2 linked regions of the Mus musculus genome follow. The protein of the gene in region 1 interacts with the protein of each later gene in a pairwise test. Links are inferred from orthologs where the notes say so. Each region holds a gene or a part of one and is shown on either strand. Other genes may lie near its edges.

Region 1 (4,131 bases):
CCAAAGCACTCAGGTGTTAGAGGCAGAAGGATCTCTGTGAGACCTGTTTCAAAAGAAAAGAAAAAAGTTCCTGATGAGGAAATGTCCCCAAGTTCAGCTTCTAACCTTGAAGCTCTGCAGGAAGGTACCTTGTCCTCTTCTGCACCTCCATATATGGCTCAGAGATGCCCAATAAGTGGTTATGTAGATTAACACAGCCATCTTTCTTTTTTTTTTAGATTTATTTATTTATTTATTATATGTAAGTGCACTGTAGCTGTCTTCAGACACTCCAGAAGAGGGAGTCAGATCTCGTTACAGATGGTTGTGAGCCACCATGTGGTTGCTTGGATTTGAACTCTGGACCTTCGGAAAAGCAGTCGGGTGCTCTTACCCACTGAGCCATCTCACCAGCCCCACAGCCATCTTTCAAGACCTTATTTTAGAATGGCAAAAATTATTCCCACTGCCCCACCGTGTGTTGCGGCGCCAGCACAAGCCACGCTTCACCACCAAGAGGCCCAACACCTTCTTCTAGACATAGAGACCCACTGAATAAAAACTTGAGACTGTCAAAAAAAAAAAAAAAAGAATGGCAAAAATCTTTAGGCAGGATCCTGGCCCACCCTGAATATCCAGCCCAGGTTTTACTAGGGCTAATGTTTGTTAACTTGATCTTGTAGAGTTGGTTTCATGTTGGGCAATCTTGTACTCCCTTCAGTAGAATCAGCCTCCGGGATTGTAAGGCAGGCAGGAAAGCCCTAATGTGAGCCAAGCCTCGATACTTGGTCAGAAAACGCTCGATTTGGACCTTGATTTAAAAACAAAAGTGTGTGTGCGGTGGCCTTCAAATATGGGGGTCACGGAATAACTTGAGGGAGTTAGTCCTCTCCTTCCACAGTGTGGGTCTCTGAAATAGAACTCAGATCTTTTTGCTTGGCGGCAAGCACCTTCATCCCCTGAGCCATCTCTGCAGCCTTGTGTGATGTTTTGAAGGTGAGCTGACTTAGCACCTGATTCTGTCATTTGTTTCCTCTTTTCAGAAGCTGGATTACATCACATACCTGTCCATCTTTGACCAGTTGTTTGACATTCCTAAAGAAAGAAAGAATGCAGAGTACAAAAGGTAGGCACTTACAGGTTCCAGGCCGTTTCCAGATTTAGGTAGGATTTCATGGAAAGGGTTGGGTCAGAGTTGTGGCTTTTGTTGTCTGAATACTGGACATGAATGACTTTTGGGTTTATCAGAAGGTAAGGATACTGAGTGTTATGTTTTAGAAATATTTGTGATGCTGTCATGGTGGTGCAAGCCTTTAACCTTAGCATTCCCAAGAGGAAAAGGGCAGGTGGGTCACTGAATTCAGCTGGTCTGCATAGTGAGTTCCAAGCCAGTCAGGGATGCGCAGTGAGAGCCTGCTCAAAAGATAAACGTGTGGGACGTTCTGGTTATGGACAGAGCTATTATGGAAACATCTGTGGTCTTAACACACACCTTCCTTAATTTTGTGTGATTTAGAAAGAAGTCTGTTTGGGGACCTCTGAGGTCTTGTAGTTTAATGGGGAAAGTGTCCAAGCTAAGTGATGTGCTTGGATCAGGTATTAAGCAGAAAGTACTGTAGACTTGGCCACACTTCTCATTAATGTTCCCCAAGCCATAGGCCTTCAGTTCTAAGCCTGCAAGTACAAATGAGCAGGCACACACACGAGACACACACACACACTTTCTGTCTGTCTGTCTGTCTGTCTGCCTGCCTGCCTCTCTCTCTCTCATATGCTATGAGTTTTACTTTATCAACTATTATTAGAAATTAAGTATGGTTTGCAGGGCATAGCAGGATGTCACAGGTAGAATTGCTTCCTTGCTATAATGGCTTCCTTGTTGCATGGTTCTCTGCAGATACCTGGAGATGCTGCTGGAGTACCTACAGGATTACACAGATAGAGTGAAGCCCCTTCAGGATCAGAACGAGCTCTTTGGGAAGATTCAGACCGACTTTGAGAAGAAGTGGGATAATGGCACCTTTCCTGGATGGCCGGTGAGCTCCAGTGGGGTTCATGCCAAGGAAGCGAACTAATTATTTTATTCTTGAGTCTCTGCTTCAAGACGTTGGATGTCAGTCCCTCAGTATCAGCTCCATCCTGAGGCCGGCATTCTTTGTACACTTGGAACAAGATTTGTCAGGACCCACTAGACATTGTCTGGGCCCTGGGTTTTTAACAAACATACCCAGATTGCTCTGTGACTCCTGACCAAAATCTGATCAGTTTGTATGATTAGAATCTATGTTTGTTTTTAAGAATTGTTTGTTTATTTTATTTATGTGAGTACACTGTAGCTGTCTTCAGACATACCAGAAGAGGACATCAGATCCCATTTCATAAGGTTGAGAGCTACCATGTGGTTGCTGGGATTTGAACTCAGGACTTCTGGAAGAGCAGTCAGTGCTCCTAACCACTGACCCATCTCTTCAGCCCAAATTTGTGTATTTTTACTTCTTTTGATAAACTTGAGCTTTCAGGAAGAAAACTAGCTGTCTGATACTTTTTTTTTCTTCACTTCTGTATGAATTGATCATTATTTGTAAATGTGTTTAAAGAAAGGGACCAGATAGTCCTGGGAAGTTAGATAGCTCCATTACCTTCAGTCTTCTCATTAGCCTGGATCGTAATAAACTTCCTCTACCTGCCAGAAAGAGACAAGCAGCGCCCTGACTCACGCGGGAGCCCATCTTGATCTCTCCGCATTCTCCTCCTGGGAGGTATGTTCTATGACACTACATGACACTGCTCTTACTTGGCTGGCTGTCTTTCTGACAGTGGTGGTGGCAATAAATGTATTGTGTAGGAGTAGGTATATGTCTCTGAGCGTGCATGTGTCTCTGCGTGTGCCACAGCATGCATGTATCACAGCGTGCATGTGTCTCTGCGTGTGCCACAGCATGCATGTATCACAGCGTGCATGTGTCTCTGCGTGTGCCACAGCGTGCATGTATCACAGCGTGCATGTGTCTCTGCGTGTGCCACAGCGTGCATGTATCACAGCGTGCATGTGTCTCTGCGTGTGCCACAGCGTGCATGTATCACAGCGTGCATGTGTCTCTGCGTGTGCCACAGCGTGCATGTGTAGATGATGAGTTGTGGGAGCTGATTCTCTCCTCTACCACTGAGTCTTGGGGCTCAAACTCCGGTCACCCCTTCCTTGACTGTGGGCATTTTTTTTCCTTGTTGAGATATCTCACTAGCCCTGGCCATCCTTCAGAGGGACTGCTTGCTCTCCTGTATTCAGTGTCTTAGACTTGTCACAATACCACTTCTGAGGGCAGGCATGTACAAGGGATATGAAAAGATCAGAAGGGAAAAACCTTTTAACATCTCGGAAAACTAGATTTCAGAGACCTGTGAGATGATGTCATAGAAAGTCAGAGGGGAGCTGAGGCAGGAACATTGCTGTGAATTTGAGGCTGGCTTTAGAGTAAGATCTGTCTCCAAACACAAAGTCAGTAATTCCAAAACGAGGAGCTAGAGACAAGAGTTCAGTTGGTGGAGGGTTTGTCCAGCGTGTGTGAGGTTCTGGGTTCAGTTCCCATCTCTGCAAAAAATACTGCTATGAATGGTCTTCCTACAGAGAGCCACTAAACACTGCCTTCCCAGTACGACTGAGCCTAGACGTGGCAGTAGTCAGTCTTTGGGAACTGAAAGCTAGGGTTGACTGTAGAATGTAGTCTTACCTGGGGAGAAAGCTGATCATGTTGTGTTGTAACTGATTTCTCTTTTCTAGGAGTTGGCATCCCTGGGTCTGGATAGGTTGAAATCTGCACTATTGGCATTGGGCCTGAAGTGTGGCGGGTAAGAACCTGGTTTTGCTATCAAAAATCCTAGTGACTGTATGTTTGGATGATCATCTAAGTGGCTCTGATTTTGTTGTTTGATTGCCCCAAACTGTCAAAATCATTTTGTGCAGTGCATGCTGGTGAATGCCTTTAACCCCAGCACTGAGAGAACAGGCAAGTCTGTGAGTCAGAGACCAGCCTGGTCTACAATAGTGAGTGTCTTTTAAAAAGAAAAAAGATAACCTGTATCCCTTACCACCTCAGGACCCTAGAAGAACGAGCTCAGAGGCTCTTCAGCACCAAAGGAAAGTCTTTGGAGTCA
Region 2 (4,131 bases), on another chromosome or scaffold:
AGCAAGGAAAAAAAAAACACAAAAAGTAAATAAAACAATACAAGACAGATGGTTTGAAGATGCTCTGATTTGTTTGTTTGTTTGTTTGTTTGTTGACAAACAAACATAAGACATTATTTGAGGTAAGAACTCAAGTACTTCAAGTAGTCCAGACTGGCTTTGAAGTCCTCCTGTTCCTCTCTCTCTTTCCAAGTTCTGAAATTACAGGCCTTTACTGCCACTACCAACCTGATGGATATACTGGAGTCTTTTTTTTTTTTTTTTTTTTTTCCGAGACAGGGTTTCTCTGTATAGCCCCGGCTGTCCTGGCACTCACTTTGTAGACCAGGCTGGCCTCCAACTCAGAAATCCACCTGCTTCTGCCTCCCGGGTGCTAGGATTAAAGATGTGCGCCACCACGCCCAGCTGATATACTATAGTCTTAAAGCCATTGTTTTGGGATTTGTTTTTTTCTTGTTTTTGGTATACTGAGAAGAATTGTGCTATGTAGTCCAGGCTGGCTTCATTTTCTCTCCTCCTGTCCATTCTCCCAGAGTTCACCCCATGCCCAGTACATAATCTTTTTTTTTTTTTTTTTTTAATTAAAAAAAATGTTTTTTCAAGACAGGGTATCTCTATGTAGCCTTGGCTGTCCTGGTACTCTGTAGAGCAGGCTGACCTTGAACTTAGAGATCTGCCTGGCACAGAAATGGCATCTGAGTACTGGGATTCTAATATATACTCTTACTATAACTCAAAAAGGATCACTTTTTTACATTTTAACATCTCTGAAACTGGATGCTGTTTGTGTGCACGTGTGTTTGTAGGTGCACTCAGCTATGCACACCCTTATGAAAGCCACAATTAGGTGTCTTCCTCTATCGCTCTCCACTGTATTTTTTGAGACAGGGTCTCTCACTGAACCTAGAGTTTGTCATTTAGCTAGTCTGCCTAACTAACAAACCCCCAAGCTCGCCCAAATTTCCCTTACCTCCTCCATGTCCTCCTCAGCATGGGGCTACGGGCAAATGCTACCATGCCCAGGTTTACACAGATGCTGGGGATTCAAACTCAGGTCCTCACGCTTGCACAGCAGACCCTGTGCCATCTCTGGAATGCTTCCTATAATCAAGTGTCTTAGACTGCGTAAGCCCTGATAATCCCAACAAGCAAATGATTTAGGCTTTCTTTGGCTGAGTTTCATCTATAAAATGGAGATATTGACTTACTCACTTCTCAGTGCTGTAGTGATGATTTAGGGCTGATTCAAGTGAGGTACTCAAAGTAGTACCTGGCACCCCTAACCAGTATTACTCCTAATATAGCCCACAAAACACTTGGTTCACTTGTCAACTACACAAAGACTACTCTAGCTAGTTAAACAGTGAGGTCAAAAGGAACAGCCTGCCAGCTCTGACTCCTGCTATGGAAAATTTTCAGGTTTCTTGGGAAGGTGGTCAGCATTAAGATGAGCCGCTGTCTGGAACAGTCCTGTCTGTCTCACCCATCCGTTCCCAACCTTCCTGGTAAAGTCCGCAGGGAAGACTACCTGTAGCAAGAGAGCTCGTGCAGGGTGGTCCTAAGCTATCCAGTTACTCTAAGTTACTGTATCCACAAAACAGACCAGGAGAGACACCCTCTCCCCAGGGAGTTACCTGTAAACACAGGAAGAAAGGAGGGGGCCCACATTCAGCACATTTAATGTAAGGTTCCGTGAGGTAGGAGGAGCAGCCTCTGCAGGGCGGCTTATCAGATGGGTCATCTGGAACACACAGAAAACAAACATGAGTTTAACACTCTATGAATGGCTGAAGCCCGACTGCACTGACAAACACACAGTAGTGAAATGAGTTCACTGCACACACAAACAAGAACCACTCTGTCTACTACACAGCAGCGTAGTCCTTCCTCCAGTGAACCTATTGCTTCAAACACTAGGCAGATATGGTCAGTGCAGAGAAGAGAAACTTAGAAATTTTAAAGTTTTACAGAGCCCACTTTGCCACAAGGGAAAGAGAACTGGGCACGTTCCCCATACAGCACACACATAAAAGCAAACCAGACAAAAGGTCAACGATTGTTCTACCTAAGAGCAGCACACAGGCAGTCACTGCCCTGGTCTTTCAACTTCTCTGCAAGTTAAAATTCTTTTCTTAACAAGTTGGAGGAATTCCAATTTGAGATTTAAGCTTTGTGTCTAGACTTGAGATACCAAGGAAAAGGCAAACCGCTGTAAACAGTCCTGTTCTTGTTCTGAACGATGAAGGCAAAGGGCGCATGTAAACTCTCCAAAGCCCTATGACTACAGATACCATTGTTCCAGGTTGCCCTAAATCCTGCCTCTCTGAAGTCAGAGCAACCTATTGTTCTGTGATTGCCCATGGGAATGTGAGACAAAGGCCTTGGAAGGGAGATGAAGGGACTTACTTTGTTTAGCTATCAGACTCTGTAATAGCGCTTTCCTCCATAAAGCTAAGAAACACTTTCTGCGGCACCATTCTTTGCTCTGACAGCCGCTTGCTTTGCAATGAAGACAGAGAAAACTGATAGGGGCTAGTCCCCAACTAGGACCTTCAACTCCTCATCTGCCTGCTTCTGCCTCCAAAGTGAAGGGATTACAGGCATTGACCATCTACCACTTCTGATAAAAATTAAAATACTAAGTGCTACATGTCGGTTTTTAAGAAAATTATGTCTATTTGTATGTCTGTGTGTGACACATGCATTCCAGTGCAGGTGGCAATGGAAGTCAGAAGAGGGTGTCAGGTTCCCTGGAGCTGGACTTACAGGCCACATGTCTGCTTGCCCCCTACAAGAACAGAATACCTTCGGGCAGTGGTGGCACATGCCTTTAATCCCAGCACTTGGGAGGCAGAGGCAGGTGGATTTCTGAGTTCGTGGCCAGCCTGGTCTACAGAGTAAGTTCCAGGTCAACCAGGGCTACACAGAAAAACCCTGTCTCGAAAAACAAAACAAACAAACAAACAAACAAAAAAAGGACAGAACACCTTAAGTGACAAGCCATCTCTCCAGCCCCAGATGCCAATCTTTCCCAAATCACTACCCCCTGAACTCTTGATTTTTGTTTATTTTTAAGAGACAGGTTTTAAGTTGTCAAAACTGGCCCTGAATCCTAGGTTCAAGTGGTTCTATATCATCACAATAGAGCTTCCCTAACTTTTATGTATTACACTTTATTATTTATTTATATTTATGTATTTGTGTGTGTGTGTGCGTGCTCTGCAGCATATGGAAGTCAGAAGACAACTTTTGGGAGTCAGTTTTCTTCTTCCAGCATGTGGGTTACAGGAATTGAACTCAGGTCCTCGGGCTTGAGCCATCTTACTGACCCTTTTCTATCCTTTCAACAGTTCATTTCATCAATTAACTAACCCGATGGTTCTGAACTAACCCCTAGGAGAGATTTTGGAAACCTACGAAGGCAGATTTTTGCTGCTAGGATGAGAGGGATGCACTAAGAACATTTTGCAGATAGGAACTGGGATCCTAGATGTTAAGTACTAAAGATGTCCTTCCTACACAGCAAACCAAACTAAACAAAAAGCCCTGACTCCAGTCCTTAGCAACTTTCAAGTATCTCATTAAATATTCAATGAGATAGAAAAACAAAGCTCACAATTACAATCCCTAGAACCTATTTCTATATTACACGCTAAAAGTGTTTGTTTTGACAGTGTTGGGGATCTGACCCAGGACCTTGTACATGCTAGTCAAACAGGTAACAGTGCTCACTGAGTTATACCCCAGCCCCAGTGCCTGCAGTATGGTGGTGAATGCCTTCAATCTCAGCACTCAGAAGACAAGCAGGCAGATTCTTATGAGATCCACAACAGTCAGAGCTACTTAGTGAGATCCTGTCTTAACGAAAGTTTAAGTTTTAGTATATTTGAGTACTCTAATACAGCTTTACACAGTTCAAGAGGAGGTCTTACTCTGCTTTATTCAGAACTTGACCAGGAGTTACTAAGACCTGTAACATTTCTTAGTCACTAGCAGCCTGATTTATCCTGTTTCTCATGGTAAGATGCCGAGATTCAACCTATGCGTAAGTAGCTGACTGCTTATGTCATCATGATGTCTCCTACAGCTTTAATGTCCTGCCCCCATCCTTCCACCCCCATATTTTTATCT

Evidence for each region.
Region 2: the proteins of Sf3a3 (region 1) and Tada2a interact in binary tests that used the Homo sapiens proteins (3 or more experiments, as listed by UniProt). The two-hybrid records come from large-scale screens. The link is inferred for Mus musculus from reciprocal best matches to the Homo sapiens genes SF3A3 and TADA2A.

The regions. Positions count from the first base shown.
Region 1 is NC_000070.6:124,721,002-124,725,132, forward strand, and holds part of Sf3a3 (splicing factor 3A subunit 3), read left to right. Parts: intron 1-1,022; coding exon 1,023-1,105; intron 1,106-1,876; coding exon 1,877-2,015; intron 2,016-2,669; coding exon 2,670-2,738; intron 2,739-3,757; coding exon 3,758-3,825; intron 3,826-4,073; coding exon 4,074-4,131. UniProt on the Homo sapiens protein: Component of the 17S U2 SnRNP complex of the spliceosome, a large ribonucleoprotein complex that removes introns from transcribed pre-mRNAs.
Region 2 is NC_000077.6:84,119,448-84,123,578, forward strand, and holds part of Tada2a (transcriptional adapter 2-alpha), read right to left. Parts: intron 1,742-4,131; coding exon 1,635-1,741; intron 1-1,634. UniProt on the Homo sapiens protein: Component of the ATAC complex, a complex with histone acetyltransferase activity on histones H3 and H4. Required for the function of some acidic activation domains, which activate transcription from a distant site. Binds double-stranded DNA.